Linked DNA regions of Schizosaccharomyces pombe. The gene in region 2 interacts genetically with the main gene of each other region. Each region holds a gene or a part of one and is shown on either strand. Other genes may lie near its edges.

Evidence for each region.
Region 1: of itr2 (region 2) and mug89, a mutation in one rescues a mutant of the other (synthetic rescue), as found in Schizosaccharomyces pombe (one large-scale study listed by BioGRID).

The regions. Positions count from the first base shown.
Region 1 is NC_003423.3:303,415-308,860, forward strand, and holds mug89 (phospholipid-translocating ATPase complex Lem3 family subunit), read right to left. Parts: upstream 3,284-5,446; 5' UTR 3,078-3,283; coding exon 1,887-3,077; 3' UTR 501-1,886; downstream 1-500. Other genes in the region: asparagine--tRNA (Asn) ligase Nrs1, read right to left, coding at 1-274; SPOM_SPBC1773.12 (transcription factor), read left to right, coding at 4,746-5,446.
Region 2 is NC_003424.3:1,391,580-1,396,451, reverse strand, and holds itr2 (plasma membrane myo-inositol transmembrane transporter), read right to left. Parts: upstream 2,848-4,872; 5' UTR 2,557-2,847; coding exon 883-2,556; 3' UTR 632-882; downstream 1-631. Other genes in the region: cir2 (electron transfer flavoprotein-ubiquinone oxidoreductase), read left to right, coding at 1-427; SPOM_SPAC20G8.02 (DDHD family phospholipase), read right to left, coding at 3,542-4,872. UniProt on the Schizosaccharomyces pombe protein: Transporter for myo-inositol.

The DNA.
Region 1 (5,446 bases), on a different chromosome or scaffold from region 2:
CTTCAGCTGCCTTAGCCTTTTTCTTAGCGGCTTGTTCAACTCCCTTTTTCGCCTTCTTTAAAGCGTTGGTGGTTATAGGCTCAAACTCTTCACTGCCATTTTTTTTGACAAAGATCGTACAGTTGGCATCAGTTTCCAAAGCATGGATTGCAGTTTTAAATGGTGATGTTTGACTTCCGTTGCCAGTTTCATCATTACCGGAAGCTTCGTCTATATAAAAAACAACGTCTGATTTTATTTTCATATCAGAAACTTTTGATTCCAATCCCGCCATTTTTAAAAGGACAGTTTGAAGTTAGTGAAAATGTTAAATATCAAATAACCGGCCTTGGATAACTTATAGTCTCGTTAGAGTGTCTTATCTGCAAATCTACAACCCAGAACATTTGCTAAAGCGCGTTAATTTTTTTTTTGGCTAATGATTCCAAAATTTCGGCTAGTTGCTAATATTTGAAATATTAAGTACTTTTATTTAATTGTAAATTTACATTTCATTGTATCACATTAGTATGGTTATTGCTAATTCCCCAGTCGATTTGACATAGAGCAATTAATTGTCAACCCAGTGTGTATTCAATAGACTCCTCAAATAAGTTAACTACGAAAACTTCTTGTCAATAAGATATTGCTTCATTCCATATTGACTTATGGCTTCTCACGTTCTTAAATTAGTAAATCCAATGGGTAGAAAAAAAGTAAATTAGCTAAGGTTGTAATATTGTCAAAAGAAAAATTTACTTTGTGAAATATCTTTTTAAATTACAAGTGGATATTTTACATGTAGGGCAAGGTTAAAGAACACACTTCTCCATAAGTTAATTGCTAGCATAGTCTGTAGGAATAACCAAAATCGTCTTTTTCTGTTTTTGTTCTCGCTATACAGCCAAGCATGTGCTGACTTTTGTATATCGAGAGATGATTTTTTTTCGTAGTATTCCAATTAGACCTGTTGACATGATACAGTATGGCATGGTATAAATGTTCAATTCACGTATATCAATAAGCTTGCAAAATTCAGGTAGTAGTGATATTTACTTTACTTTTATCGCCATACCTATTGTAGACTGTCCTCAAATCACAACACTTCAATACACAAGTGCATTCTTTTACGCACCAGCATTTCCTTTTTACAACGCTTTTAATTTTAATTATACAAATGTCATAGTCAACAACGGCTTTAAACGGTTTGAACGACAAGAAATGGAGCAGCAGAGGAAAGCAAATAGCGGTTTAGTATAAAAGAAAAATGCAAAAATTTATGATTGTTACAAACAGCGTAATATTTTCATCAGTATGTTAAACCAAAGTATCATTAACAGGTATAGAGTTTCCAAAGTAAGCACGCATAACAATTTTATCCTAAAGAATAGCAGTTATGACCTGCTAGCACACTTCAGTAACAAATTCTGCTAATAATGCGAATTATTAATTGATAAAAAAAATCCGTATCTCAGTTTCATGAGACTAAAGAGAAAAGCGTAAAAGAATGAAATGTAAACGAATGGTACATGTAAAGGCATTCCAAAGATCTTTTGAATGATAAATTTAGTGTGTTACAATAAACTAATTTGAGTAGCAAAATATAAAACACATACTACCTTTGAAAAGCCAGTAATGAAGAAAATTAGGGGTCCATCAAAATACCTCAAAAGTCATATTTTAATGAAATTGAGTATAGCAAAAAGATGTAATATGAATGTCAGAATTAGCAATCGTAATCATCAAACCTAAAACAACATAGTTCTACCCTTTGATAAATAAAAGAAATCTAAAGACAACGGAAGGCGTAGAAAAAAAAAGAAGACAGAGAAAACTCCTTCTACTATGAGGAAACTAATTTTGCAATTACAACCCAGAGTTGTAAATAGTCGGCAATCGCGACAAACCTAAGGACGATCACTCAAATGGGGTGCTAAATTATTTTCTTCAGAATCCCAATTTAAATAACGATGATCGGCAAGCTTTCTTGGACGGATAAAATGCCTTAATGTAAAAACGGTACCTAACACAACACAAACAGCACTGACAACAATGTAAGCTATTCCAAGGAATGGATTCTTTCCTCCAAGCACCGATCTCGTCGTAAGAACCAGAGATTTGGTACCGTCAAAGCTCTTAACAGGAAAAAACAACCCAATTTTTATTTCGTATGTTCCTGGAAAAATATCGTCGTTATCGTTCCGCATAGCCAACTTACTGAAAGTAGGCAGACCAGCTGTACGCATCCAAACCTGTAAATTTTCCATAGTTGACAAATCTGGCATGTTTGATTCAGTATAACCATCAGGATAACGCAAAACCCAATTGGGAGGAGGTGCAACATCATCAGGACTGTAGTTTGTCTTCAAAAATCGTCTTTTATCTGAAGCCCAAGCTATATTTTTGGTAGAAAAAGTGTAAACACTATTATCATCCAGCAGTCTCAGTGACGAAAAAGTGTCATTGAAAAGAGAATTTGCAATCAAACCACATGGATAATATGGTTTGTCATCTTCGTTAACTTCCAAAGGAAAACAATTGCCTCCTTTAACTTCGTCAGCAGTTAAAGCCACTCCCTGTAGTTGTTTTTCATCTACACTTTTAGCATACCGTCGATGATTTTGAAAAAAATTTGTCAAACGGTAATATATGAAAATAGGCGCCTTTAAAACAGATGGGACTGTGAATCTTATGATGCAGTAGTTAACGTCCATATCTAGATCTTTATCGAGAATTTTCTCCAGTTTCCAGTAGGTTGATTCTTTGTCAAATCCAATAGTTCCTGATTGATCAAATGAAGCTGTGTACTTTTTGGAAGGGACGGCAGAGAATTCATCGTAAGAAGCCAGAGTCTCACAATCCGTATAATCAACAACTAGCTCTTGTACGATAGAGCTAGCATAAAGTAATCCTCCTCCTAATGGACCAAATATAATTCCTAACACAAAAAAAAGTGGAAGCACGATTTTAGGGGTTAACAATGGCTGCCAAGACTTGATCCTTTGTTGGCGAAAGGAAGTATTAGGAGGTGCTCTAGTTTTTGCTACAGGCCCATTTGATGCAGTGTCTGAAACATTTTCATTTAATGCTTCCGGCATAATTCTCAAAGGTCTTGAATTGATCGCTTTTTAAAAGCGAGCCCGTTAAAGTGATTAAAAACAATTTAAAAGTAATATTTTGGTGGTTTCTAGATGAAAATTATTGATTTTTTGTTTTAAAATAGGTCAAAAGGCAATAAAACAGCCTATAATGGATTAAAAAAGAGGATATTTGAAAGCCACGGATTTTTCTACGTTTGGCATTTAGTAAACACATAATCTGCAACGTACATATACAAAATTGCGTTAAATAATTACTCCGTATTCCTAATAGTGCTATAATTGACATTGCGAATATGGTACATTTCGCTATTCAAATTTAAAAAAAAATTCTATACAAAGCCAGTGAAGCAGTCATCTTTAAAAGGAAGAGCTATTATAAATACCTTCTTTAAAAATAGGGAAGAACATTTGTTGGTTAATGTATAGTAGTTATATTTCGGGACTATAAAATTATGATGTTCAATTAAAGGAAGTTTCAAAATTTTATAGACGATGGTTTTTCTGCTACAAATAATATTCAAAGTGATTCGTCGTAAAAATGTATACCTGATCGACTTGATTCTGTAGAGATAAGAAAAGAAAGTGTATTAATTATCTATTCTCTGTGGTTAACAAAAGAGGAGAAGTAAAATGCTTGAAATATATTTACGAGCTGGATAGGAAAATGTGCGCACTTTACCGGTAAAAATTGCCCAGCTAAAGAAACAAACAGTATTTGAAAATGACCACCTGCGTGGAGTCTAGTAAATTGCAAGAAAAGAAAAAAAGATTGGTGCCACACTAAGCTCATTTTTTCGAGACAACGTATCTAATGATACAGTATATGTAACTCTAATTATCATATACCTCTTTTGATGTTTGTTTTATGTTTTTTTAACTACCTGATTGAAAACCTCGGATGGTAGTAAATAATGCCTCAAAGTCGAAATCTCATTAGGCAATTAACTGGGATTCAACACATTTATTTAAATTAACATAAGTAAGCCTGGACATTGAAACATAGTGTTATTAATTAACGTACAAAAAATGTGAATGATTATGGCTCCTTCCAATATTTATTTCATGCCTTTAAAAATGAATTTCCGAGCTAAAATGAAAGTTGTTTGATATCAAGCAATTGTTAAAGATTTTTTCATTTAAGTAGTTGTTCGGAATAATTTGGTAGCATTCAAAAGTTTTGCTTCCCATTGCTTTCAGCTCCAAATCCTAACATTATCTTTTGATCCTATTCATTATATTAATATTCACATTTATTCTTTTTGATTAGACTTGTTTATTATCATTTTTTGGCTGTTTACCATGGTATTTATAATGATGAAGCTATGTTACTAATGGATTTTTGTAAGATCACATGAAGAACGGCAGGTTGAAATTGATACCAAGCAGTAAGGAACAATTCTCTCACCCATAAATTGGATTGATTATTTTGTTATCTGTCCCATTTAAGGAATGTTCATTTATTATCATGGCGCTCGCGTCATTGAAATATACTCGAAATTAAGCGAAAAAATCGATCGGCGATAATCATTGTTTACTATCAATGGCACAAAATTCCAAAATTGTATATATTGCAAGGTGCCCTGTACGAGTAGTTTCAAAAAAATTTAATATTCCAAAAAAACGCCTAAAAGACTGTGTTGTTGGAAGTTTTTAAATGTGCAAACAATGGTACCAATAAAAAAAATTAGCACAGCTTGCGACTTGTGCAGGCAAAGAAAACTTCGGTGTAACGGCGAATTGCCAAAATGCCAGAATTGTGTAGTGTACTCAGAAACGTGCAAGTATAATAAAAGAAAAAGAGTAAAGAAGCCAAACGTAGACAAGGATGACCCACATATCGTCGTCGGGCAGCCGCCTGTAAAGAAGTCAACAGCTGGTATTACTCGAGAGTACACCGAAATGATTGAACTGAGAAATCATATTATAACGTTAAGCAAAAGATCTGTTAATATGGAATCTCGGATTGACGATATGCTAAATTTGCTCAACTACGATCTGTCAGAAAAGAGAGAAACGTCGAACGAGATACCATCGCTTGTACAGCAAATTCAAAACTGCGGTTTTCTAATAGATGAAAAAATGAGAAGGTATCCAGGGATTTTCCAAATTCATCCCAAGGATTACACCATGAATGATCTGTTTCCTCAAAGTTTCCCTACATGGATTAGTGTATATCGCAATGTACCAGAAAAAGCATGGGCCAATCGGTGTGTTGAGTGGTATTTTCGCTATATAAATTCATGTTGGCCTTTATTTGATTTAGAAAATTTTATGGACCTTTTTGATAACTTTTATTCCGATAAAGAAAAAACAAAAGGTGCTTGGGTTGTCTCCTTCTATGCCATTATGGCTTTAGCGGTGTCCCG
Region 2 (4,872 bases):
TGTACTGAAGGGTCGTGTCCCATGGACATTAAAGCATAAAGGAGGAGATGCAAAGGCTACAAAGTCTGCATCAAAATATAAACCTATCAATTATCCCAAACCGGATAACGTTCTTTCTTTCGATATTCCAACTTCGGTATCCCGTTCCGCAACAATGCATGCTGAAAACCAACCCTGTCACCTATTCGATCACCGTCCTAAAGACCGTAAATCATGTTTTGAAACATATAAGGGCGTTGAAAACAAATTCTGCCCTGCTGGGGTGTATGAATATGTTAATGATGAAGCTTCTTCATACGGTAAGCGTTTTGTCATAAACTCTCAAAATTGTGTCCATTGTAAGACATGTGACATTAAGGACCCTTTACAAGGTATTCAGTGGAAAACCCCTCAAGGAGGAGATGGCCCTAAATATACCTTGACCTAGTTTAAAATTTTCGGAATTTAAACGTTTGCAGCTTTTTTGACAAATTTAAAGAGTTGAAAGCTCTTCGTTTCTATCGTATATATTTTTAAATTTTTGTCGTTACCGAACATACGCGGTAAAAGCTTAGAAAAAATGACTTCACTGTAAGTTCATGTATTTAATATTGCAAAACACTTTGAAACACTGATTACATCGCTTTGATATACTCTAATCTAAAGAAATATTATTTAATTATAATTACTATGAATTGCTTAAAATAAGTAATTTTGAGTAGATTATTAAATAAAAACATCAATAATCGTAACAATTGGTGTGTAGATATTCTCATAAAAATGAAGATTTGGCTGTGATTATAAAATTTAATTTCTAAAGGGTACAAATGGAATATGCTTCATTTGTATTTTCCCAAGAAAACAAAGTAAACAAAGCTTTATAGGGGAAATGGGTATTTCATCTCAAGCTTCATCTATTCTTCCTTTTCTAACGCGTTTAGTACTTTCCTTTACAGCTTGCCAAAAACCTTTTTCAAGCAGCTTGTGTATATTTTCAATAGACATTCCTGCAAGTTCGGGATAAGTAAAGTAGCTTGTCACGAGTCCAACAAAACAAAATCCAGCAAACAATGCAAATGTACCCGTTGGTGTGATAGACTCCATCATTGTCAAAAAGGAAGCACTAATGATGAGATTTCCAACCCAGTTGATAGCAGTTGAGAATCCAGCACCAAGGGCTCTGACTTCCATAGGAAACAATTCGGCTTGTTGCCAGGGAATATTTCCGATTCCAGAAGCATAGCTAGCAAGGAAAATAATGATGGATGCTAATACGACATATTGCCAACCACTGTTTGTGTTTTGGGTGGTGTCTGCAGGAAGAAAATGATAAGCGATTGCACAAAGCGCCAAACCTGCAATCATCACGGCTGAAGTACAAAGCAAAATTCGTCTTCTTCCAATACGGTCAATAAACATGAATGCGACTATTGTGAAAACAAAGTTAGTAGCACCGACAACAATACTGACAGAGATAGAATTTTTAAATCCAACACTTTGGAAAATGATTGCAGAGAAATATTGAATTGCATTAGTGCCAGAAAATTGTTGGAACCATTGAAGGAAGCAACCAATAAAAAGGGATCTTCTATTTGAAGGAACCGTGAAAAGTACTTTTAAAGAATGAAAGAAATGTTGAAACTTATTCCCTTCAGGAAAATCAACTTTGACGCCCTCTTGAATCAATGAGACTTTATATGCAATTTCAGCTGGCTTTGCTTCGGGATGGATTCGAGACAAAATCTTGTAGACTTTTTCAACATGGTTATGTCTAAGCAAATACCTTGGAGACTCCGGAGTCCAGAAAAGCGAAATAAGCTGACCTAAGGCGGGGGCCGCACCAATTCCAAACATAATTCTCCAACCTTGATGTACATGTTCAAAAGCAGCATTAAGTGAGTAGGCAATCAGCTGCCCACCGGTAATGAAGACCACGTAAATGATGACAAGTCGTCCGCGCAAACGAGCAGGAGCCAACTCAGTAATATACATTGGGACAATAAGAGAAGTAAGACCAATTCCATAACCTACAATAAAACGACCAACAACCATCATTGCAACATTCCGCGAAGCAGCCATAATAACAGATCCGATGACAAAAATTGCATCTGCACATAGCAAAAGCCGTTTGCGACCGACCCAATCAGCAAGCCATCCTGAAGTGGTTGCAGATATAAGGGCGGCGAAGGAAGTGGCAGAGGTAATCAATTCTTTTTGGCCAGAGCTAAGGACGTGACCAAGATCGCTACCGAGGACAGCGAGAGCGCCTGAAATAACACCAGTGTCATAACCGAACAGCAAACCAGAAATACCTGCAACAGCCGACAGCACCCAAATCCAACTACTGATTTTTTCAGCTTCAAATCCTTCACCGTTTTCATCAGCGACCTCGTTGGCTTGTGGATCCGTTGCATTCGCTTCTTCCTCGTTCGGTAAAGAAGGGATTTCACGCATGTCCTCAGAAAAAGGAACCTTCTTCTTGGTTTCAGAAGGACGAGTGGTCATTTCCACGATAAAGTCTTTACCCTTATCATCGCTGGACTTAATGGTCGCAAGGGGAATATTGTTGAAATCCATTTGAGCCAGATACGAAATGCAATAGTTAAAGAACTATTATTCTAAAATTTAAAACTTTTACAAAATTAAACGACCGTGCTAATAAAGCACTTGGTAACCAAACAAGAGCTCCAAACTAAATCAGCATACAGTTTGTAAGGACAAGCCACAATAACCAACTTAATCTCAAATTTCAATCAAATAAAACAGTGTATCAACTAATTTAACACGTTTTATGACTTCTTAAAGTATTAAAAATGAAGAAATTGAGATTTGCCCGACTTTATACGCTTTTCGGAGTTGAGGTTCAGTAAATCAACTAAGCCATCGAGGGGTCTATATATATGTTCAAAAGGTGGGGAACAAAGAAACTCAACAAGGGTCCGAAAAAAGCAGCAAATTCGACAGCATGTCGTTATCGTTGTAAGAACGAATAGTACTTCTTCCAACGACTGAATGGCGTTGCGTTTGTTTAAGTTGTCTCTAACAGAAATACGAGATGGTCAACGTATATAGAAACTGGACTTTTTAAGAGTCCTTGGTAGTAGAAAAAAGCTTAATTTGCTATTTAGTGTTTTTTTTCTATCGCTACCTTTTTTTTTTACATTTTAATGCTAGAGGATGAGAAGGTGAAATTGATGTCCTGTTCTTGGAAAATTTTGCTATGAAACTAAAGCAACTACTATCAAAATGATATTGGAATGTTCTTTTTTACCCCAACTTTTGTACCTGCAAGCAGATGCCAAAGCTATAAAAGATTTATTGTTTTCGCATAAAAATTAGGAGGATTACTGTGTCAAATTTTATACAAGCAATCAATCTATCTACAAAGTCATGGGCGCTTTTAATAGCCTTCTCTCTTAAATCAATAGGTAAAATTTGTTTGGAAAGTTCATCTATTAAACTCATTTGAATTAGTCGTACATAAAAGGTAAAACATTAAAATAAAATTTAGATAAGAAAAGGAAGGAAAGAATGTTTACCATTGCATTAATTCGAAAAAGTATTAAAGTAATTGGGTTAGAATAAAATGAGCAAGATCAACATTTTTCCAATATTCAGAGTGAGCATTCATTGCTGAGACATAGCTATAAGAAGTATCTAGTGCACCTTCTTGTAGCATGAAGTCTATACGTCCCGTTTTGTTCAATCGATACATTCGCTCATCAATATGCCAATCCCGAATGTTTTCAGCTCCCTGTGATTCATCGTGAGAATCAGCGGTGGCCTCGTTAAACACAGAAGCATAACTCAATGATTTTAAGATTAGGGTATTAGCAATACCAGATCGAAGGCCAGAAAGAACATTCAGAGCACCACCGGCAATTTTATGCCCTACACCAGAACTTGAAAGGTCTTGATGAGGGCGAAAGTGAGAAATTTTCTGAGGTTTTAAGCGGGCCATTTGCTTAACCACCAATGGCTCTACACGATAACTGATGGGGTCAGTGGGATGAAATATATTATAGAAGTTTTGACAGCTAAGGATCGAGACACCCGAATCGAAACTTTGCTCAGAATAACTTAGACTGCGAGTCAAATTCGTTTTAGGAATAGGACCTGCAATTTTTTTACCATTCAGCATTTGAAATAATCCCAATGGGCTACCTAAGGCGAAAAAGTTTGCAACAGGAAAGTCAAGTTGCAGTTTTGAGTATTTGATATTTCCTTGGTAACGTATAATATCAAATAAAATTAGAGCCCCCAAGGAATGTCCAAGAAGTGAAACATGGCCATTAAATGAGGGGACATTTTTTTTGTACAGATTGTACAGACGATTCAGTCGCTTCACCACTGCTGCCAAAATTTTATCTCGATAATTTGGCTGACAATACAAGAGGACGTCTAGCAAAACATCCGAAATAATGTTTCGCAATCCAGTAACCGTAGGGATATTTATATTATCCAAAGTTGGAATGGAATCGTCTTCCAAATCGTCTAATGCAAGATCTCTAGACATGTTCAATGATTCATCATCATCGTCATCATCGTCCGCAAAAGACGAATCAAGGTCCCTTGCCATGCCAAATCTTATGTCTTGACGCCATAACAGAGGCAGACATTGAACACCGTTTCCACCTCCCTTCAGTTTGGGATACACAGCTTGCAGGTCTGGAGAAGAATTAAAGGTTTTTTTTAAAGTTTTACGAAAGTTACTAATATCCTTTACAAAACTGACAGTTTCCACACGTTCACCCATTTTTTGACCGATGCCATGACAGCACAATATTAGATGATTAACTTCCCGGTCGGGTCTTGACATTAAATGAGAGGCATCAGTCGCGGATGGAAGGTCTATCGTACTTTCGGTATTACTAGGTGTAAAGTTGTCACTTG